Linked DNA regions of Macaca fascicularis. The protein of the gene in region 3 binds, or shares a complex with, the protein of the main gene of each other region. Links are inferred from orthologs where the notes say so. Each region holds a gene or a part of one and is shown on either strand. Other genes may lie near its edges.

Region 1 (6,168 bases), on a different chromosome or scaffold from region 3:
GGAGGGCTGTACTCCACGATGCGCACCTTGGGCTCTGGAAGGGCGCTGGCCGAGGCCGGCGTGCCGTGGGCGCTGGGGAGGGCTTCATTTTTCTTTTTGACTCTGTTGTTTTTGTGACGCTTAGTTCTTAAGCAGACAGGGGGCCGCTCGCTGTTTTCCTTATTGCTGTTGCATTCACTCATCTCTTGAGCCGTGAGGTCATCTTCTAATATGATCTCCAGGGGATCAAAAATACTGATCCTGTGCAAGCGCCCTTCAATTTCTATCTCTACCATCCTTTGAGCTTGAGCGTAGGTCAGCGTTTCTCGCGTGGGGGAGTGTTTAACACTGCACGGGGAGGAAGGATGCCTCGCTGCAGAGCCTCGATGACATCGTCCTTTCCTCCTCATTTGGTAATGATTACCTAAAATAAAGGCAAAGATAAAGTTAATTCTATGCAGGGTGACCAAAGACTCGAGAAAGCTGCAAAAGTACGCTTGGGCAGATCTAGCTCACCAGCTCAAAACCCAATCAAAGCAAAACTCACAACTAACTTCTTTCCAAGGTGTCAAAAATCACGCATCCAGGCCCAAGCAACTCCCCAGGACCAGGGAGAGAACAGCGGTAATAGGCAGAGAGGCAGCCTGAGGAGCCCTCCTGAGCACCTGCATCCCTATCACTACACACCAGTCCCCTCTCAGACCACACCAACAGGCTGCGGAGACCACAGAAATGCTCCCCAAGAAGGAGGGGTCTGGCCCAGAGCCCACAGCTGGACTTTCCTGGCATGCAGGCGATCCCCCAGGAAGTCCACATATAGGGCTGGACCCCACCAGACACAGAGGCTATGCCCACCAGAGAGGCATGCTCAGTGGCTACCTGGTCCTATCGGATACTCCCCCTAAACCACTCTTCCCCTCCCCACTGCTCCCAGGAGAGCACCCACATGAGCCCAAAGTCACCACGGTCCTTGCAGCATTCCTGCTGGGCTAGGGGTAGGAGACAGACCACAGTCTGTCCATGCTCTATAGACAGGCCCTCCACACGCACACCACAGCACAGGGGACCAACAGGGGAGCCCTGTACTGGTCTGAGGGGACAGTCTTCGCCCCTGGGAGGCCCTAACCCCACTTCTGCAGAGCCTTGACAGTGACCACCATGGAAACACCCACAGGCCGAGTCAACCTGCCGCTTCCCCTCAGGGGCACTCCTCAAGCCCCAGTGAGACAATGGTGCTGGCCATGTCCTCCTCCTTTCCGAGCGAATCCGGATACGTGCAATACACCAAAGGGCATCTCTCTGTTCTCCCCGGCACACGTGAAGGTAGACACTCTGCTCAGGCTACACAGCGAGGGGCGGCCCCCAGGACCCCCTAGAAGCTTGCAGAGACCCTCACCAGGAGGGTTGCCAGCGCTGGCTCAGGTGCCTGAAGACTTGGTCACAGAGATTTAGGAGAATTTGCCGTTCCAGAGATGGGCAAAATCAGTGAGCTGCCACCCATACCTCCAGCTCCTTGTGGCAGAGGCCTCTGCTGTTCGAACACCACGGACTGTGTCTGTTCCCAGCTGTCCCCGGGGTGCCTCGTGTGTGGGCACCTCCAGTGAAGACCACCACCCGCCGGGCAGTGCCTCCCTCCAAAGCGCCACACTTCACTGACAGGAAGCAAAATGATTTTTCAGTGACTGACTCGCAAAACAAATATTCTCAGCTGAAGCCCAAGGCCCACTCTGCATCTAGCCCTGCAAGGTCAGGGACGCCTGGCCTCGGGGCCCAGGGGGAGCAGGGGCACCCGCAGCAGCCTGGCTTCAGAGCCTCACCCTGGGCCTAGATCTACTGGGCCTCAGAAAAAGCCCTCAGGGAGCAGGCTTCCCTCTGTGAGTCCCGAAAGGAAATCCCAGCCGACTTCAAGGGCACTTCTTAAGACAGACCCTCCAGCCACCGTGTATCTTTCCCTGTATCAGACAGAAATCCTCATTGTATGTTGAAACTAGATTGCAATTACCTACAGAGAGGACAGGAGAGAAAATGTGGTCAGCCAAACCTCAGCCCCCTTGCATTTCTAGGGCCTCCAGGTACCCACTCAACCCTGGATTCCTGGAGAGCTGTCAGTACAGCCCAGCCGGCCCTGGGAGCCCTGCAGAGGTGACACCACAGCCTGCAGAGAGCTACCCTAGTGCACCCGGGACGGCGACACGCGTCATTACTGAGGTGGGGCAGAAGCAACAGTTGGTTACTCACCAGATCAGAAACGAACCTGTAATTTTCCCTCGACAGCAAAGTCCTGAGTCGCCCTAACGACAAGCAGCCCCCGGAAACCCACTCTCTCCCAGGGAGCCGCGAAGCTCTTCATCTCAACACTTTCTACAAGGGGGAGAACTGAACCGAAGGCTTCACGGCCACAGCAGCTCTCAACACGGAACTGGGACCCGGGGAGAGTAGACCCTCGGCAGCGCAGGGCGACCCACGCCCTTCCCTGCTTCCCCGCTTCCCCCCTGGGCCGGTTCTGTCCGTGCTGGGACACGCATTTCCACGGGGAGGGATCCGCGGAGGCACACACGTCGCTTCTCAAGGAATAATTCCCTTAAGTACATCCTGAAGAGCTCTGCGGGCCAAAAGCAGGGAAGGCTGCTGCCCACAAGACGGCCGCTTCCCTCTTCCCACCGCCCGCCCAGGGAGAAGCCGACCACGCGCCGGGCCGCTCCCTAAAGGCCACGGGAGCCGCGGCCGCTGAGCTGTGCGAAGTTGTGTGAAGCACACGGCACTCGGGACGGCGCTGGGCCAGGCAAACAAAAACCTCCGCCGATTCCACTAACTACACAACCACCTGGCGACCGACCCTCAAAAACAGACCCGGACGGCCGCGCTTTCTGGGGGACGGGCCCGCACCCCGCGGGGCAGGGGCTCCTGCTGCTGAGGATTCTCAGAACTCCCGCGTCCGCTCACAACAGCCGCGTTTCCCGTGAACTGCGCTTCAATCGTGTCACTCGTTTAAAAGGCCCGGGGAAGCCTCGCGTTCGTCGCGAGGCGTCTCCCTGCAAACGCCCGGGGAGGCGGCGGCGCCGGTTCTCCAGCCCGGCCGCCGCAGGCCGCGCGGCTCCTGGGCGATCTCGGGGCGCGTCCCTGCTCACAGGGAGTTCCCGTCTGGGCAGAGCTCGGCCGGCCTGTCTGTTACATAAGGGGCGGCCCGGCCGGCTCGGCGGCTGCCCGAGGCCCGACCCGACTCGAGCGCGGACTCCGGGCGGGCGCCGCGGCCCAGGCCGCCGAGACCCATAGCCCGACTCGGCCTCCCTCGACTCCCCGGCCTGACCTCCCCGGTCTCCCCGCCCGGCCTCCCAGGCTCCCTGCCTGTCTCCCCGGCCGCCCGGCCCGAACTCCCCGGTCTCCCCGCCCGGCCTCCCCGGCATCCCGGGCTCCCGGTCCGCGGACAATGCGGAGCCGCCGCCGCCGCCGCCGCCAAACATGGCGTCGGCACCACAACCCCGAGAGGCCGGGCCGAGGCGGAGGCGGCGGCCCGGGAGGCCCGGGCGGCCCGCGAGGCGGCGGGGAGGCCTCCACGGCCAGGCCTCCGCCCACTCACCTTCGGGGCGCCGCGGCCGCGGGAGCCCGGCAAGCGGGCGGGCGCGGGGGCCGGCGCGGCCGAGGCGGCGCTAATGGCGCCCGCGGCTCCTCCGCCAACGGCCGCGCAGGCCGGGCCCCGCCGCCGCTCCTGGGCGCGGGCTCCTCTCGGCCGCGGCGGCTCCGGGCCCGGCAGCGGCGGCCGCGGACTCTCGGGCGGCGGCTCGCGCGGCGCGGGCTCGGGGCCCGGCTGGAGGCCCGGCTCGGGGGGCCCGGCCGGCGGGCGCGGGCGGCGGGCGGCGGGCGCGGGACGCGGGGCTGGCTCGGACGCCAGGGCCGGGTCGCTCGCTCGCTCCCCAGCGAAGCAAACAATGCGGCGAGCGCTCCGCCCGGCGCGCTGCGTGCGAGACGCGCCCCGCCCGCCGCCGCCATGACGCGCGGACTCCGCCGCCTCAGCGGCGCGCGGGGGAGGGGGCGTCGCGAGGAGCTGGGGCCAAGTGGGGACCCTGAGGCGGCAGGGACCGGGCTGGGAGTGGGGGGTCGGGAGGATGGAGAGTGGGGGCCCTTGAGTTAGGGAGGACCGGGCCAGAGGGTCCCTGAGGAGGTCAGGAGGATGGAGAATGAGGGGCCCTGAGGCAGGGGGACAGGCCTAGGAGTGGGGGACCCGAGGCAGTTGGGGAGCAGCCGGGAGTCGGGGGCCCTGAGGCAGAAGGGCATTGGCCCGGGGTGGGGTCGCTGAGGCGGGGGGACGGCCCGGGAGTGGGGGACCCTGAGGCAGGGGGTACCACCGTCCGGGAATGGGGGACCCTGAGGCCGGGGGACCGGCCGGGAGTGGGGGACCCAGAGGTGGGGGTACCGGCCGGGAGTGGGGGTCCCTGAGGCAGAAGGGCATTGGCCCTGGAGTGGGGGGGCCCTCGAGGGCGGAGGGGGGAGCAGCCGGGAGTCCGGGGTCCTGACAGGGGGGACCGGCCAGGAATGGATGGCCCTGAGGCAGGGCGATTGGCCCAGGAGTGGGGGGCCCTGAGGCAGGGGGCGATTGGCCCCAGAGTGGAGGGCCCTAAGTGGGCAGAGGGGACCCTGTGGGCCCACTGGGTGGAAGTGGAAGGGGCACTGGCCGGGGCACCCGACTAAGTAGGGGAAGGTGGTGCAGCCGGGCTGGGGAGCCTCCCCTAGTGAGTGTCAGGCCAGGTGTGCAAGTAGTCCTGCCAGTGTGAGGGCCCTGCCCAGTCCGGCGTGAAGCAGATGCCCTTTGAGGTTGCAAGAAAAGGCCCCTGCGGGCGCGAGTTGAGAGGCCTGAGTCTCTGCCTTCGCTTTGGCCTTTTGTGTAAACTCTAAAATTCAGTGGGGTCATAACAATTTTCACTCCAAGATTAAGTCCCAAAATGTTTTAAGGTGAGGCAGGAGCTCCTTGGTTTCCTTGAGAATCTGTGATCAGGACGATGGTGCTGTGGAATCCCTGGGTTCCAGCAGCCCAGCCTGTGGCATCTAGGCAGGCCCCTCGGGCGGAGCAGCTGTCCACCCTGGGACAGACCTTCCCCATGGGGCAGCAGAGCGGCCCCACTGCTCAGGGCACTGCATCAAACACCTTATTGGGAGTGGGGTGGCTTTGTTCACCCAGGTGTCCCTGATGGGGCAAAGCCCCACAGGCCTTTTCCTGGCCAGCCCTCATGCCCATGGCACCGTGCGTGGGTTGTGATGTGAAGACTTGAGGGCAGGTAGGACCCCAGCCAAGGTCCCTAGTGGTCAGTCCTGATCTAGGACTCCCTGCAGACACACCCTTGAGCCGAGAGGGTGCAGGCCACTGGGGCCCTGACCTCTTCTGCACGAGACCCAGGAACTTCGTGTCACCTCCATTCTACTGATGTCTGTTTACCTGTGGCCAAACAAGCAAGCTGAGCCGGAACCCTTCTCTCCTCCACCTCAGGGAAGCCAGATGGAAACAAGCTGGAGGTTCTCCACAACGCAGAGTGAAAGTAAGACACAGTCTCACGAAAGAGAAGATGAAGAGACACAAAACCCTTCACAGAACAGGAGAGAGACGGGGACAGTGACTTCTCAGACAATGGAGGTGATGCTCAGAGGAGAGAAGAACAAAGCCTCGAATGTAGGCGTGTCAGAGGGAGACTCAGGAAGGCCTTCGGAGAGAGAGAAAGGATCTTTTTTAGAGTTCAGACTGATCCTACAGAGGAGGGGTTGCCAAAATACTAAGAGAATTGAACCATAACTCATACACAGTGAAACTAGCGTTCCAGTGAGACAGCAAAATAAAGGTGTCTTCACGGCTTGTAAACATCCATGTTTACCACACACGCAGTCTCTAAAAGTACTAGAAGAAATACCTTAACAAAGTGAAAAGTGGACTCAAGAGTAAGACGTGGATGCTAGCAAATAAATCAGTCTGGTCTGTTAAAATCAACCTGAGAGAAATCCCAGATGAGCTCAACATGACACATGGCAAGGCCGGGCACAGAAGGAAGTGAAAGTGCACGAAAGCTCTTGTATTGTTTGGTTTGAGGATTTTAGAATCAATAGAAAAAAAGGTTAAAAATTTTAGCTGGGCATGGTGGGTCACACCTGTAATCCCAGTACTTTGGGAGGCCAAAGCAGGCGGATCACCTGAGTCGGGAGTTCAAG
Region 2 (5,407 bases), on a different chromosome or scaffold from region 3:
CAGGCTGGAGTGCAGTGGTGCGATCATGGCTCACGATCCTCCCAGCTCAGTTTCCCTTAGTAGCTGGGACTACAGCCCACGCCACTACACTCACCTAATTTTTTCTATTTTTTGTAGAGATGGGGGTCTCACTTTGTTGCCCAGACTGGTCTCAGATTCCTGGGCTCAAGTGATCCTCCCGCCTTGGCCTTCGAAAGTGCTGGAATTATAGGCATGAGCCACCATGCCCAAAACTGACACTCTTTGACCACTCCCCACCAGAATCATCTCCATAGAGGCTTTGTGGCATTTCAGCATTTTCTCTTTAGTCTAAATGTCACTCCTCCGAGGTAATGCTCTGATCTCTTTGGAGGGTACACAATACCTTTGGCAGGGAGGGTGTCAGTGGGAGAATGCTTTAAATAAAGTATCTCAAAGAACTTCAAGTTAAATGACATGTCTATTTAATAAATGTGGCCACATAATTTAACAATGAATATATGCAAACTATATACTGACACATAAAATAACTGACAGATACACAGAAATCTAGCTACTTGAAGAGTGGTTTACATTGGCCTCTGTCAACAACACGCTCACCAACCTACTGTCCCTAGCGGGGCAGCACACACCGTGGCTAAGAAGACAGGCACTGGAGTCAGACTCCAGGTGCAGGCCCAGCCACACCACAGCAGCTCTAACGCCTGGGCAGGTCCCTGCGACACGGAAAATGCCCAACAACGGCACCCCCTCCATGGCTGCGGTGAGGACGGGCTGATGACAGGCACACAGCATAAGAACCAGAAGAACCCGAATGCTACCCAGCACACGGAGTGCACTTCACTCAAGGGTCAGCTTCCATCAGTGTTTCTACATCCGGGATACTGGCTATGGGTATTTGTTCTTCTGGGAAAAAGAGGGGAAAGCCTCTTACCCTCCTTTATGCTTCTTTTTCTTTGGTGTATCTTCCTCTGATGTCCTCCTGCCTCGGCCCCGGGACCCTCTTTTTTCTTTCTGACCCCGGCCTTCTGAAAAACAATCAAGATGAAAATTATTTTTATAGAATTCGCTAAAGCAAGGCAAGTTTTGTGTTTTGTTTTTAAGAAGGAGTCTCGCTCTGTCTCCCAGGCTGGCTGGAGTGCAATGGAACAATCATAGCTCACCGCAGCCTTGACCTCCCAGGCTCAAGCAATCCACCCACCTCAGCCTCCCAAGTAGCTGGGACCACAGGTGTGCACCACTACACCCGGCTAATTTTTAACTTTTTTGTTGAGATGAGGTCTCACTATGTTGCCCAGGTTGGTCTCAAACTCCCAGCCTCAAGCAATCCTCCTGCCTTGGCCTCCCAAAGTGCTGGGGTTACAGGCGTGAGCCACTGTGCCCAGCTTGCAAGACAAGGTTTACCCAAATATGATACTTACCCTAGTGATCATACTTCAATGATTTACTGTGACAAAACTTCAAAACGCCATAGTTAACAGTAATAAAGAAAAAAATTTAACAGACTTGCTTTTTAACCCTCGCCCTCCGGAGCTTTCAAAATCACTGCCCTCCATCTTGTCCTTCAGATCTGCCTCAAAGCGCGCCAGGTCTGCGTCAAGCCTTCGAATGTGTTTATCCACCTACAAAAGGATACCCAAAGTCTTGTTTTAAAGTAAAACTGAAACACCTTAGAAATCACAAATGTACAAAAGTATCCACTAGGAAATGCCTTCTTGCCCTTTAATTGAGTCGTCAGTGAACAAACCTCTGCTAAATCCAGGCCCACTATTTCAAAGTCCATGCAAGGTCTTGTGCTTTTTCTGCATATTTTGACTGCAGTGGAATGAATCCCATTTAAGGAAAAGACAGGCGTGTGGGCAATAATGAGAAGCAGAGTTGTGAAATGCGGTGAACAAGGCCTGGGATATCTGACGCTGAATCCTACTTTAAAATGTGGCTACCTGGAGGCCAGGTGCAGCGGCTCACACCTGTAATCCCAGCACTTTGGGAGGTCGAGGCAGTCTGATCACCTGAGGTCAGGAGTTCGAAACCAGCCTGACCAACATGGTAAAATCCCGTCTCTAATAAAAATACAAAAATTAGGGCAGGCGCAGTGGCTCATGCCATAGCCCCAGCACTCTGTGAGGCCGAGGCGGGTGGATCATTTGAGGTCAGGAGTTCGAGACCAGCCTGGCCAACATGGCAAAACCCCATCTCTATTAAAAATACAGGCCAGGCACGGTGGCTCACACCTGTAATCCCAGCACTTTGGGAGGCTGAGACAGGAGGATCACCTGAGGTCAGGAGTTCGAGACCAGCTTGACCAACATGGAGCAACCCCATCTCTACCAAAAATACAAAATTAGCCGGGCTTGGTCGTGCGTGCCTATAACCCCAGCTACTCAGGAGGCTGAGGCAGGAGAATTGCTTCAACAAGGGAGGCGGAGGTTGTGGTGAGCCAAGATAGTGGCATTGCACTCCAGCCTGGGCAACAATAGCAAAGCTCTGTCTCAAAAAAAAAACAAAAACAAAAAACAAAAATTAGCCTGTTGGTAATGCCTGTAATCCCAGCTACTCAGAAGGCTGAGGCAGGAGAATCGCTTAAACCTGGGAAGTGGAAGTTGCAGTGAGCTGAGATCATGCCACTGCACTCCAGCCTGGGCAACAGAGCAAGACTGTCTCAAAAATAAAATAAAATAAAATAAAAAATAAGTAAAATAAAATAAAATATGGCCACCTGGAGGTTGGGCATGGTGGCTCATGCCTGTAATCCCAGCACTTTGGGAGGCTGAGGCGGGCGGATCACTTGAAGTCAGGAGTTCGAGACCAGTGTAGCCAACAGGGTGAAACCCCGTCTCTTCTAAAAATGTAAAAATTAGGTGGGGGTGGTGCTGCATGCCTGTAATCCCAGCTACTTGGGAGGCTAAGGCACGAGAATCACTTGACCCTGGGAGGCGGAGGTTGCACTGAGCTAAGATTACACCACTGTACCCCAGCCTGGACGACAAAGTGAGACTGTCTCAAAAAAAAAAAAAAAACCAAATGGTTCCTCCGAGCAGATACACAAACAAAAAGGGTCCAGAAAAAAAAAAAAAAAAAACAAGGATGGTCCCACATGAAGTGTATCTTGTCTGTATTTCCTCCAGCAGCGTCAGGCTACCAAAGCTAGCCTTCCACTTGGCTATGCCCATTTCTGGGCAGTTTTTACATTTTGTTGCATGAGAGGCAGTAGAGGTCGGAGGAAGACCCATGGCCCCCGCCCCGCCCTCACCATCTCATAGGTCTGCGGGTGCCGTGGCCCCCGCCCCGCCCTCACCATCTCATAGGTCTGCGGGTGCCGTGGCCCCCGCCCGCCCTCACCATCTCATAGGTCTGCGGGTGCCGTGGCCCCCGCCCGCCCTCACCATCTCATAGGTCTGCGGGTGCCGTGGCCCCCACCCACCCTCACCATCTCATAGGTCTGCATGGCCAGCTGCACTTTGTCATCGCTGTATTCCTTGCACTTGCTGTAGGCATTCTGGATCTTCTGCAGGCGCTCCACGCGCTGGTCTGGAGATAGCGTCTTCACCGTGGAGATGTACTCTGCAGCCAGGATGTCAATCTCTGCTTTCTTATCTGATGGAGAAATGGGGGAAAAGCTAGCCCTGCACAAGACACCACGATGGGCTCACTAGACCGGCAACAACTAAAGTCAGCCAACACCAAGTTGTGGCAAAGACGTAGGCTGACATGAACTCACGCCGTGCTGGTGGGAGTGCAAGTGGGCAGAACCGTTCTGCACAAACAGTCTGGGATCATGTGGATGTGCAGACTTTACGGCAGCGTGCCCAGAACAGTCCCAGTTCTGAATGTTACACAGCAGGTGGTCACAGTGCCCTCTTTGACTCTCAAACATCCTGTGTGAATAATTAATTATGTAGTCACCTTTCCTATGCCCTGGCATACTACTCTTTTTTTTGTTTTCTTTTTTTTTCGGTAGAGCAGTCAAGAAAGAACATACTACTCTTAAACACCCTAAAGAAACCTTATGTAACCTAAAGAAATACACGTGGGAAAACATTCATAAGAGCAGGAAACAGAAAACAACCCAAATGTCCAATCCTCAGTGAAATGGAGAAATCAGATGTGGTCCCTTCAGACAACAGAGTGCTACTCAGCAACAAATAGAGCAAACCACAGCTACACACAGCAACACGGATGATTCCCACAGAAGGTGACACAGAGCAAAAAGAGCAAGAAACAAAAGAAAACATACCGGATGATTCCATTAATACAAAGGGCAGAAACAGACACAGCTCGTAACTCTTTGGTTTAGAGAGGTAAGAAAACTACTGTTGAAGGCCGGGCGCGGTGGCTCACGCATGTAATCCCAGCACTTTGGGAGGCCAAAGCAGGTGGATCATGAGGTCAAGAGATGGAAACCATCCTGGCCAACGTGGTGAAACTCCGCCTCTTCTAAAAATACAAAAATTAGCTGGGCGTGGAGTTACGCGCCTATAGTCCCAGCTACTCAGGAGGCTGAGGCAGGAGAATCACTTAAACCCAGGAGGCAGAGGTTGCAGTGAGTCGAGATTGTGCCACTGCATTCCAGCCTGATGGCAGAGCGAGACTCCATTTCAGAAAAAAAAAAAAAAGAAAACTACTGTTAAAGGTGGAAGGTGACTATCACCAAACTCAAGATGGTCACCCCTTGGATGGATGGGTGTCATGACTAGGAGGGTCACAAAGGTCTTCAGGTGCTAAAGGGCTTGATTTCTCCATCTCAGTAGCAGAAAACAGAGAGGTTCACCTGGTAATATTTGTTAAGCAATCTATAAATGTTGTACCTCATTTCTGAATATATGTTACATTTTGCAATTAAATAACTCTCTATATTCCCTAGTCAAGATGCTGTACCTAAGCGAAAAAACACAGCTATCTCAGTCTTGCAAAACGTGTGCCTAGGCCGGGCACGGTGCTCATGGCTGTAATCCCAGCACTTTGGGAGGCTGAGGCGGGTAGATCACCTGAGGTCTGGAGTTCGAGACCAGTCTGACCAACATGGAGAAACCCCATGTCTACTTAAAATACAAAAAATTAGCAGGGTGTGGTGGCGCATGCCTGTAATCCCAGCTACTCAGGAGGCTGAGGCAGAATTGCTTGAACCCAGGAAGTGGAGGTTGTGGTGAGCCGAGATCGTGCCATTGCACTCCAGCGTGGACAGCAAGAGCGAAACTCCATCTCAAAAAAAAAAAAAAACAATGTGCCCAGCATAATGCATAAAAAATCTCAGGCCAGGCATGGTGCCTCACGCCTGTAATCCCAGCACTTTGGGAGGCCAAGGCGGGCAGATCACCTGAGGTCAGGAGTTCGAGACCAGCCTGACTAACATGAAGAAACCCCGTCTCTACTAAAAATACAAAATTAGTCAGGCATGGTGGCGCATGCCTGTAATCCCAACTGCTTG
Region 3 (5,407 bases):
TATAAACACTGCAGCTATTCTTTGCAAAAGGATCCTACATCTTATGTGAAAACACCTAGTGTGGGGGAACCAGAAACCTAGCTATGTGGCCAAAAGTAAAACCCAAAGGAAAAAATAGCAATTCAGTGGTTAATTGGTGAAAACAGGAAATTTGTGCCCTTTACTGTGCTACTGCTTTTGTCTTCTTACTTTTGTTCTTTTTGTCCCTTCAGCCCATCCATGTTAGCACTCAGTAGGTCTGAATAAGCCATCTGAAACTTATTCACTTGCTTGGAGCTCACCACAGTGCTGACCTTCTTTTTCCCATAGATAGCTCTTAGCAGACACTTGTCTGAGGGCTCAAAGCCCTCCACAGAACCTTTCTTTGGAACAGGTTTGGTTCGACCACTCTACTTCTTCAAGGTGATATAGATGCTGCCCAACCTCCAGCACTTCTGGAAGAGTCTGGTCAGCTCCATCAGGAACTGCTCGCTCTCCAACATCATCGTGGTGATGCTGGCTCAACTCCCTCCGCGTAAGCCCCTAGCAGTCTTAGCTTTGTTTTAATCGACGCATAAGTGTACATATTTATGGAGTATACTGTGATGTTCTGATAGATGTATACATTGTGTAATGATGAAATCAAAATAATTAGCATATCCATATCTCAAACACTTGTCATTTCTTTGTGGTGAGAACATTCAAAATCCTCTCTAAAGTATATTTTATTTTAATTAATTAATTTTTTTTTTTTTTGGAGGGCAGGATGCACAGGCCAGGTGTCAGCCTCACTCTCTCGCAGCTGCACCCCCCAACGGATATTTTAACAACAAAAAATCTGAAGAAATCTTATAGACTCTCCAAAGAAGAAAACTGAAAATTTCCAAACTTTCGGGTGAGAAAAGTTAGCACACAGCAAGGTTATCAACTTGTACATCTCCAGGGGCCTCCTTTCACAATATGATCTACATTTTGCTCTAGGGAGGAACACCTTACATTGATGACATTGTAAATGGTACCCCAGAGTTGTGCAACTCTGTGGTCACGAGGTCAAGACCCAGGGCTTACGCATTTCCTAGCTGTTTTGAATATTTAGTTTTCAGGTGTCTAGGGCATGGTCAATTATACTTTCTACGAACATTATGTCTTTTCCTTAGCATATGCTGTTCCATCTGCCGAGAATAACATATTCCCATCTTTCAACTTGTAAATTCCTATCAGAGCCTTTAAGACGTCAGTGTGCAGCCCGGCACGGCAGCTCACGCCTGTAATCCCAGCACTCTGGGAGGCCGAGGTGGGCAGATCACTTGAGATCAGGAGTTCAAGACGAGCCTGGACAACATGGCGAACCCCGTCTCTACTAAAAATACAAAATATAGCCAGGTATGGTGACGCTCACCTGTAATCCCAGCTACATGGGAGGTTGGTGCAGGAGAATTACTTGAACCCAAGAGGCGGAAGCTGCAGTGAGCCAAGATCATACCACTGCACTCCAGCCTGGGCAACACAGCGAGACTCTGTCTCGACAACAACAAAAAAGACTTCATCGTTGTGGGAGTGCTGCCCTAAGTTGGCTATCCCACCTCTGGGCTTCTGTAGTACTCTATGCAAACCCCTCTCACAGCCCTTGCCATAATATATTCCCATGACCAATTTTCATATCTATATCTTGCACTGAACTGTAAGATCCTTGAGGACAGGAACTATGATTTTTCTATCATGGTTCCTAGGACATAACATAGTGCTTGAGTTATAGTAGCTATTTATCCATAGTCTCATTGTGGTAAAAATTTAAAGCTTAAGAAATCAAGAGACAATAGCAATACTTTAGCTGAAATCCTAAATTCAAAAATAAAGTTAATGGCGTAAACCTGGGAGGCAGAGCTTGCAGTGAGCTGAGATCCGGCCACTGCACTCCAGCCCGGGCGACAGAGCAAGACTTCGTCTCAAAAAAAAAAAAAAAAAAAAGTTAAGAACAGTTGTTAAAGAGGATATTCCCACTTTCTTGCTTGAAAAACTGATGGTTTTTCTCTCGTTGTGCAACATACTGATATAAAAGTGACCAAAGCGGCAGGGCACGGTGGCTCACACCTATAATCCTAGCACTTTGGGAGGCCGAGGCAGGCAAACCACGAGGTCAAGAGACTGAGACTATCCTGGCCAACATGGTGAAACCCCACCTCTACTAAAAATACAAAAATTAGCTGGGCATGGTGGCACATGCCTATAGTCCCAGCTACTTGCAGGTTGAGGCAGGAGAATTGCTTGAACCCAGGAGGCAGAAGTTGCAGTGAGCCAAGATCACGTTACTGCACTCTGCCTGGCGACAGAGCGAGACTCCATCTCAGGGAAAAAAAAAGTAACGAAAGCAACACTGTTGAAGTGCTCAAAACATGTTAAAGCTTTTTTCCCCTAATCTATTACCACCTATTGATCATCAGCTCTCTATATTAGCTACAACCTTCTTTCCTCCTCAGGGAATACCAGAGAAGAGCCAGGAGGGGTCAAGGGTACCCTCCAAATTTAACCCCAGATGCCTAAATGCACTAGAGATACTTCAAACTACCTTCCAACCCCAAGATCCTCAATTCTTTATTACCAAAGCAAAATTCTATATTTCCACACTGATATTTTGGTACAATTATTAATATTTATCAAGTGTGTATTGGATTACATTCCAGAATTAAACATGGTTTTAGAAGTACTGGGCCTCTGCCAATAACAAGTCCAAGAGACTACAGATGCTCCTTGACTTATAATGGGGTTAAGTCCCAACAAAACCATCATAAGTTGAAAGTATTAACAGGCTGAACATGATGGCTCACATCTATAACCCCAGTACTTTGGGAGGCCAAGGTGGAAGGACTGCTTGAGTCCAGGAGTTTGAGACCAGCCTGGACAACATAATAAGATCTCCCAAGTAGTCCCAGCTACTCAGGAGGCTGAGGTGGGGGGATCACTTGGGCCAAGGAGGTCAAGGTTGCAGTGAGCCAAGATCACACCACTGCACTCCAACCTGTGCAACAGAGACCCTGTCTCCAGAAAATAAAAGCACTATACACCTAACCTACCGAGCATCATAGCTTAGCCTAGCCTACTTTAAATAGGCTCAAATCACTTACATTAGCCTACAATTGTGCACAATCATCTAACACAAAGCCTATTTTTAATAAAGTGTTGAATATTGCATGTAATTTATTGAAGACAGTACACTGAAGAGTACTGGTTTACCCTCATGATCAAATGGCTAACTGGGAGTTACGGCTCGCTGACTGGGAGTTATAGCTCATTGCCACTATTCAGCATCACAAGAAAATATTTCAGCCACATATCACTAGCCCAAGAAAGGACTGAAATTCAAAATTCGAAAAGTTTCTACTGAATGCATATTGCTTTAGCACCACAGTAAAGTTAAAAAAATAATAATAATTAAATCAAACCACCATAAGTCAGATACCATCTGGACTTCAAGTCCCTAAGCCTAAACCATTCAAACAGAAAGTGAAGGGATAACATTTTCATTTTACTGATGGAGACACGGCGATGTAAAAAAACAAACAAACAAACAAACAAAAAAACACAAATGACTCAAGACATACATGTGTCTCTATCCATTATACCATCCACAGTTCCTTTGGGTCTACAAACTGGATAGCAGCCCCCAACAGAAGCATTGTTAAAGACCTGACAACTCTGCATTCACTCCACATTTTACCAATCATCTGGTGCACCGTCATCTACACCAAGCCAAGGGACCAGTTTCCACATTAACTAGGAAAATAATGTGATGGGCCAGTCAGCCAGATGTGAGGAGTGGTAAGGAAAAATGAAGATTTTTACCTTGAGAACTCTGGCTTAGCCTGGCTGAGGAGCGGGTGACTCGAGCAGATCGTCGGGATGTGCCATCACTTTCTGAACTGTCTGTGTGCTCGAGATCTGTAGAAAAATCGGAATCTTCGGTTCCATCTGAACTACTGCCTGCATTCCTCTGTAATACCATAGATCCAGATATTAGCACAGAAGCATTTGGTCTGAGGGTTTGCATTAACATTGAAAATAAAACAAGCTGTGACACCGAAAACACCAAGTTCAAACCTAAGAAAGGATTCCACAAGCATTTCCCATCCTCCCACCCACCCAGGCAACTTCACTTTATTTAGAACACTTAAATGGAACAATGTACAAATAAGGGACTTTTGTTAAATAAATGAAGAGCTTCCATTTCATTGGCTCCCGTTGCCCAGGCTGGAGGGCAAGGGCACAATCTCAGCTCACAGTAACTTCCGCCTCCTGGGTTCAAGTGATTCTCCTGCCTTGGCCTCCCAAGTAGCAGGGACTACAGGCACCCACCACCACGCCCAGCTAACTTCTATATTTTTAGTAGAGATGGGGTTTCACTATGTTGGCCAGGCTGGTCTTGAACATCTGACCTCAGGTGATCCACCCGCCTTGGCCTCCCAAAGTGCTGGGATTACAGACGTGAGACACCACACCCAGCCATGAAGATAATTAATTCTTACTGTATTAGCACTAAGTATGAACCAAGATCATTCGGAGATCAGTATCACAAAAAAAGGTCCACTGTAGTGAAAAAATCGTTGGTGCTAGACCTCATTTAACTTTAGAGTAGCTTTTGTTAAATGTCTCCATGAAAAGCTATCATATTTTTTTAAAACCATATACCATCTCAAAATATCATGGACCACAACTCTGATCCCAAAAGAATTTAAGCAGAAAAAGACGAAAATTGTTACTGCGTATGCCATCTATCCTTGAAGTTTCTCCACATGAAAGCCATCTATCTTTCAAAAAGGCAGCTTGCACATGGAGACTCATGGGTATTCAAAAACAGTTGTTTTCAAAACCATCTTTTCAATGAACAATTATTTGTCAATTATTAACCTCCTCAGGAGTTCTTTCTTAGCCATAAAGATAACTTTTATCAATTGAGCACTAACACTATACCCTTTACAAAACCAGAAAGGAAAAAATATTTGCTAAAAATACAAAGATTCACGCTGTAAGTCCCAATTCTTTATTCAAAACCCTGAGGGCCAGTTGTGTTTAGAATTCGTATTGTTTTTTTATTTTTAGAAGGGGAGTACTTTGCATGTATCCTGCAAATATTGGGTGCAATAACAAAACATAATACTTCTGCAGCAAAAGATATAAACAGTCACACTAAATGAGACACACAAAAACCGTAAGTAGCCTCAGGACAGATTAAGACAGGTTTGCCGCCAAACAGGTTACTAAAAAAATGTACATTTTCAAGAAACTCCTGGTATTCAGGAAATTAAGAAAGAAGACAGGCCGGGCGCGGTGGCTCAAACCTGTAATCCCAGCACTTTGGGAGGCCGAGATGGGCGGATCACGAGGTCAGGAGATCGAGACCATCCTGGCTAACACGGTGAAACCCCGTCTCTAC
Region 4 (6,114 bases), on a different chromosome or scaffold from region 3:
CTGCTTGAAAAGTACTGATGAACTCATAGGTGTCTCCTATTGGTCAAAGCCCCAGTACTATTTTCCCACACTAGGTCCTTTATTCAGTTGGTTGCCTTCTGAGTTATCACCTTCCTTTTCACAAGCCTAGCTATGAAATCAGGCAAGTTTTTCCCAAGACCCTTTTTCTCTTACTTTCTCCCAAGAAAAGCACAGAGGCAGTTCTAATGGTAAGAACTTTGCTGCTATTGTCCATGAAAAAACCTACAGGAACAAGGCAAAAATAACCATGGGGGAGTCACAAAGATTCCAGAAAACAAAACTCAAAGTGGTAGTTATTTGGTCTGTAATGATCACTTACTTGCTAGTAACCATTTATCCTTTTATCACTTCTATCCATTCATCCTAGATCCTCCCCACCATGCAAACCAGAATGCTTCAGCTTTCCCAGCCAATGTAACTGGAACAACAGAAACTTGTGAGCCATTAAAGTGTCCCCACGTTAGGAGAGTGCCAGACAGGTGTCACCTAACACTCACTTCTCACCTATATTGTGGGGCAAGTCAAGATCATAGTAAATTATACCTCAATGAGAGATTTTCTTAATGTAAGACAGCATATTACCTCTGTCTTCTCAGCTCCTATTTTGTGTAAGCTCAACAAGGAGATAGGTGCATTATGTCCCATGATAACGTTCAACTTCATTTTTGGACTGGCTCTCTACAACTCTGATCAAGGCTTGTAAGAGCTCTCTAACGCCATGTCTTCATCAACACCTGATGCCTCCTACCTCCCCCACCTCCTCCAAAATACTTGCCTAGTTCCAAACTGACCTCAAAGCAGTGGGCAGAAAGAAGATACAGCTTTGTGTAGGTTAGGGGAAAAAAATGGGTTGTTATGGTTGGTGGAACACAGGAGAGGGAAAAGACAAGCATTATTAAAGGAGAGAACCATACAAAACCTACAAGTCTTCAACACCCTTTCCTCTTTAACTTTCACCAATCCATACTTCTTAGCTATGATGCCAGCCCTACACCATCACCTGTCCTGCCCCTGGGAATCTCCCCTACGGGCCTGAAGGTGGGTCACAACACTTCAGGGAGGAGTGGGAAGCCTTTCTCTACTTTTTTCTACCTGTGACCAGATTCACATCGCATTGCTGAGGGCAAGCAACATGACTCAGAGAAGGGGGGAGAGAGAAAGTGTGAATTCTAGAGCCAGCCTTGCACCCCTGAGTACTCCAGAATTGACTGGACAGAAAATGCAAGGCAACAATATTGGGTTAAAAGCTATTCTCTAGCAAACAAAAGCGTAAAGAAGAGCACAACTGGAGAAAAGGTGGCAATGATGGTGGCTAACATCGATTGAGAGTTGAATACACGCTGGGCACTGAAACACTTCTCAAAGATCTCAGGTAATCCTTGAAGAGAGGGTATTATCCTTTTACAGTTCAAGTATTTAAGCTCAGAGCTCACTTTAAATGAAAGAGAAAATGATATGGAGGTAGAATACTTCTAGGTTAAACAAAAAAGAAAAAAAAATCTATTTTCACTTATCCGAAGAGTAATCCCATGATGTTACAAAAGCATAAGAACCACACTACTCAAAGGGTACGAAGGCCGGGACCCACATTCCCATTGTCTACAGATGTTTTGGAAGTATTAAACTAAATAAAAACACAATGCTTTGTTCAGACCGACTCTTCTCTCAGCCCTACTCTTTCCCCCTCCCAGACCTAGGCTGACAAGAAGTGGCCAAAGGGAAAGTATTTAAGAGGAGAACTGGTCTAGGAAAGTGGATTGCGGGTTGCTTAAACTAAGCAAAGACGTTGTGCAACCAGTTTTTACCTAAATTATTTTTCATTACTTCCCAAATTTAGAGAGCAGCAGTTCACTTTATCAGACTGAACACAGGGAATGAGGTCGCCTTTCCCTCCAGGCCACCACTGGAATCACCTTCAACACGGTTTCTGACTTCTTACACAATCAGAGGGCGGGAGGGGGGAATCTCATCCTCAGCTTCAGAGATAAACGCACCTCACGGCACACACACACACACAAAACAACTCGCGCACATCTGAGGCCATGGATTTCCTTGCAACTCAAAGTCGGAGAAGCGGCCAAACAAGTTTCTTGCCAAATCCCTAGCAGCTACATATGTCCCAGGGCTGCACAGCGATAAAAACTTTGAAACATGCCTCCACATACCACCATTGTGGTCACTCACTCCAGATCCCGCCACCCACTCCTCACAAATAACAAACGAAGGCTGCTCTGTGCAATTTAAAGCTAGACTCCACCGAAGCACTGGCTCTGCTCTGAAAAGCGGGAGAAAAAGATTGAAGGCTATTTAAAAAAACTAAACAAACAAAAAACCAAAAAAGAAAACAAAACAAAAACAAACTACGGCCCTCGGGGCGGAGGGAATGAAACGAACTCGAAAGCTGGAGAAAAGTTAACTTTGCCGTGCCCAGCGGTGGGAAAATTTCTCCGAAAGACTAGCAAAGCCCTCACGATTTTCCCACCCCGGGACCGCCCGACGCTCGGCGGCCACGGACCCGCAGTTCGAACAATGCCGCCAGCGGGAGGGAAAGTTCGCCGACCCGCCGGGCGCCCGCGCTCTCGCTCCCGCCGGGTGGGCACCCGAGCTCTCCGGGGTGCCTCGCCGCACCCAGCACCACCCGTTCTTCCCTCTCCAGGCACTCGGTTCTTTCCGCCCCCCAACATCTAAACAGCCAGGGCGCGCCCTCGCTCCCTGGAGCATCCGACCCCTGGCGGTCGACAGAGCAGGTCCTCCCGCCACGGGTCTGGCCCCGTCAGCCCCGAAGCCAGGCAAAGGGCAGGGACGGAGGAGGGGGCGCCAGGAGGGGGCACCGGAGGAAAGAGCCGCAACAGTTATGGCGCTCAATTCCTGCCCGGTGTAGCCGGGAGCTGCAGCCAAGCTCGCGCGTCCGCCCCCGCCCCCCGCCCGGGCCACCAAGCACTGCCCGGGCCGGCAGAGGGACCACTAGGCACTTTACCTCAGCCCACACACGCTCTCGGCCCCAAGGCGCCGGGGACGCCGGAGGCGACCACGATGTGGAACCGGAGCGACCCGGAGCGCGGCGAGGCCGGGCCGGGACTGTGCGCTCCGCGCCGCTCGCTTCCACTCCCGGAGGCCGCCGCTCCCGCCGCCCACCCGGCGCGACGCCCCCAACCTCGCCCGCGCCGGGTCCGGCCTCCGCGGTGCCTACCTTCGCGCAGCTGGCTCGCGGCTCCTGCCCGGCTCCACGCCGCGGCCCGGCAATGTGCCGGGTGAGTCCGGTCGGAGTGGTAACCGCCCCCCTAACCGCTCGCTTTCTTCTCTTCCCTCCCTCGCACCTGCCCCTTAATCCCCTCCTCGCCCCCGCCCCCCGCCGGGGCCGCCCCCCGCGCCTCAGCTCCCGCCCTCGGCCCTCGTCCGCCCGGCCCGTCAGGCCTCAGCGCTGGGCAGGCGGTTGGGCGGCGGCGGCGGCTGAGGCGGCGCGGAGCACTATTGTATTCCTGACACTGTGCGCTCCCACGCTCCGCCTCTTCCCTTTCCTTCCTCCCCCAACCTCTCCTCCCACCCACCGCCGGCCGCGCTCGCCCTACCGGAGCGGCTCCCAGCCGTCTGCCCGCCGCGCGTTCTTCTGGCGGGCTGGGCGCCGTCGCCACCCGCCGCCTCGACGCCCCGCCCACTCGCCGCTCCCGCACCCGCGGCGCCGCGTTCCAGGTGGGCTCCCCTCCCGTCCAGCTGGGTGAGCCACTGCCCGAGACGCCCCAGCCCCGCCGAGCGCTAGAGAGGACGAGGTGCGGATGCCTAGGCTGTGTTGAAATACGGACTAAGCTTTTCATGGCCCCTTCCAACTCCGAAGTTCCAAAGTGGGACTCTCATACATCAACTCGGCGGCCGTTATTGATTTATGTCGCTTGTGCTTGAATTACCTGTAATAATAAAGCCAAAGTGGCTATTAACAGAATTCATTTAGTCAGTTGCCAGCACAGGTGGTTTGTGATGTTGTGTGGCTTTTTCGATGTGTCCACTGGTTAGGCTACAGCCCACAGTTATTTGATAGAATGTCAATTCAGGTGTTGCTCTGGAGGTATTTTGCTGATGTAATTAAAGCTCCTAATCAGTTGACTTAAAGTTAGGGAGATAATCCTGGATAATCTAGGTGGGCCTGAAGGAATCAGTTGGAAAGCCTTTCAATCAGGGCTGAGGGTGCTCAGTACGTTAGAGAAAGAATTTCCCCTATGGATGACACCTTTGGCCGGTGCCCATTGGTTCTAGCCTTCTCCTGATCTTCCCTTCCTGACTGCGTGCCCTACAGGTTTTGGATTTACTTAGCCACCACCACAATCGTCTAAGACAATAGCTTCGAAGAAATGAATGAACAGGGAGTGTATATACATATATTCCCACCACGCGTTCTTCTGGCGGGTTGGGCGCCGTGGGTGTGGGTGTGTGTGTGTGTGTATATATATAATTTCCTACTGGTTCTGATCCTTTGGTTGAATCCTAATATAGATGTTTAAGCAACAAACCTTTTTGGCTTACCTCTCTGGGTTTGGAAATGTACTATATGCAACTATGATGAACTCATACTCATTCTCTTTCTTTTTTCTTTTCCTTTTCTTTCTTTTTCTTTTTCTTTCTTTTTTTTTTTTTTTTTTTTTTTTTTGAGTCAGGGTCTCGCTCTGTCGCCAGGCTGGAATGCAGAATGCAGTGCCTCGATCTTGACTCACTGCAACCTCTTGGCTCCCTGTCACCCAGGCTAGAATGCAGTGGCGAGATCTCTTGGTTCCCTGCAACCTCCACCTCCCAGGCTCAAGTGATTCTCCCACCTCAGCCTCCCAAGTAGCTGGGACTACAGGCACATGCCACCATGGCCCGATTTATTTATTTATTTATTTATTTATTTATTTATTTAGTAGAGAAAGAGTTTCACCATGTTGCTCAGGCTGGTCTTGAACTCCTAAGCTCAAGCTATCTGCCTGCCTGGGCCTCCCAAAGTGCTAGGATTACAGGCATGAGCTACCGTCCTGGGCTATTTTCATTTACATTTCTAGGATGAACAATAATGTAGGCTCTTTTGTATTTTGTCTGTTTTCCATGTCAAAGATCTAGTTATATTCCATAATATGGAAATGTGTGAGTTCTAAAATATTCGTAGTCTTTCAGACTTATCTCACTTTATTATACTTATTTAAAAATAATTATAGATTCACCAGAAGTTGTAAAAAGAAAAATGTACAGAGTGGTCCCATGTACCCTTCGCCCAGTTTCCCCCAACGGTTATAGATAACTATAATACAATATAGATATTAACATTAATACAATCTACAGACCTGTTCCAGATTTCATCAATTTTTCATGCACTGATTTCTGAGTCTGTGTATATAGTTCTGTGCAATTTTAACACTTTAAATTTGTGTAATCACCACAATCAACTTTTTCTCCACCACAAAGATTCCTCCTGCTACACTTTGTAGTCACAGTCACCGCTTTCTCCTGCTCTAATTTCTGGCAACCCCTAACATGTTCTCCATCTCTATAAATTTGTCATTTCAAGAATATTACATAAATGGAATCATACCTTTTGAAATCAGCTTTTCTTCACTCAGCATAATTTTCTTGAGATGCACCCAAGTTTATTGCATGTCTCAATGATTTGTTGCTTTTTATTACTGAGTAGTAGTCTCTAGTATGGATGTCTATACTAGACAGTTTGTTTATTCATGCATTGAAGGTCATTTGAGTTGTTTCCAATGTTTGCCTGTTAAGAATAGAACTGATATGAGCATTAATGTAGAAGTTTTTGTGTAAACATAAGTTTTCATTTCTCTGTGACAGATGCTCAGGAGTGCAATTGCTGGGTCAGATGGTATGTGTATATTTAGTGTTGTAAGAAAATGCCAAACTTTTCCAGACTCTACCATTTTATATTACCACCAGCAATGTATGAGAGATCTCGTTTCTCCACATCTTTGTCAGCATTTGGTATTGTCACTATCTTTTTCTTTTAGCCATTCTAATAGGTGTGTAGTGATGTCTCATTGTTATTTTAAATTGCATTTCCTTAATGGCTAATGATGTTGAGCATCTTTTCATGTGCTTATTTGCCATCTGTATAAC

The links.
Region 1: the proteins of KAT7 (region 3) and BRD1 are in contact, whole or in part, in a crystal structure (PDB 5GK9), measured with the Homo sapiens proteins. The link is inferred for Macaca fascicularis from reciprocal best matches to the Homo sapiens genes KAT7 and BRD1. Residues at the interface, in NP_008998.1 of Homo sapiens: Leu531, Phe534, Gly536, Lys537, Glu538, Ile539, Ser540, Ile541, Lys542, Pro552, Val553, Val556, Gln560, Leu565, Tyr567, Lys571, His572, Leu573, Val574, Leu575, Lys576; in XP_047297239.1 of Homo sapiens: Val40, Ile42, Glu43, Ile44, His49, Arg50, Ile51, Ser52, Ile53, Phe54, Asp55, Pro56, Leu57, Glu58, Ile59, Ile60, Leu61.
Region 2: KAT7 (region 3) and ING5 share a complex: the UniProt entries of both Homo sapiens proteins name them as parts of the HBO1 complex. The link is inferred for Macaca fascicularis from reciprocal best matches to the Homo sapiens genes KAT7 and ING5.
Region 4: KAT7 (region 3) and JADE3 share a complex: the UniProt entries of both Homo sapiens proteins name them as parts of the HBO1 complex. The link is inferred for Macaca fascicularis from reciprocal best matches to the Homo sapiens genes KAT7 and JADE3.

Annotation. Positions count from the first base shown.
Region 1 is NC_088384.1:1,728,733-1,734,900, reverse strand, and holds the start of BRD1 (bromodomain-containing protein 1), read right to left. Parts: upstream 3,910-6,168; 5' UTR 3,557-3,909; intron 3,459-3,556; exon of another isoform or gene 1,797-3,458; intron 404-1,796; 5' UTR 390-403; coding exon 1-389. UniProt on the Homo sapiens protein: Scaffold subunit of various histone acetyltransferase (HAT) complexes, such as the MOZ/MORF and HBO1 complexes, that acts as a regulator of hematopoiesis.
Region 2 is NC_088386.1:137,647,536-137,652,942, reverse strand, and holds part of ING5 (inhibitor of growth protein 5), read right to left. Parts: intron 3,577-5,407; coding exon 3,410-3,576; intron 1,602-3,409; coding exon 1,490-1,601; intron 1,008-1,489; coding exon 914-1,007; intron 1-913. UniProt on the Homo sapiens protein: Component of the HBO1 complex, which specifically mediates acetylation of histone H3 at 'Lys-14' (H3K14ac) and, to a lower extent, acetylation of histone H4. Component of the MOZ/MORF complex which has a histone H3 acetyltransferase activity.
Region 3 is NC_088390.1:56,915,851-56,921,257, forward strand, and holds part of KAT7 (histone acetyltransferase KAT7), read right to left. Parts: intron 3,968-5,407; coding exon 3,820-3,967; intron 1-3,819. UniProt on the Homo sapiens protein: Catalytic subunit of histone acetyltransferase HBO1 complexes, which specifically mediate acetylation of histone H3 at 'Lys-14' (H3K14ac), thereby regulating various processes, such as gene transcription, protein ubiquitination, immune regulation, stem cell pluripotent and self-renewal maintenance and embryonic development.
Region 4 is NC_088395.1:47,017,952-47,024,065, reverse strand, and holds the start of JADE3 (protein Jade-3), read right to left. Parts: upstream 3,680-6,114; 5' UTR 3,591-3,679; intron 3,511-3,590; exon of another isoform or gene 3,212-3,510; intron 1-3,211. UniProt on the Homo sapiens protein: Scaffold subunit of some HBO1 complexes, which have a histone H4 acetyltransferase activity.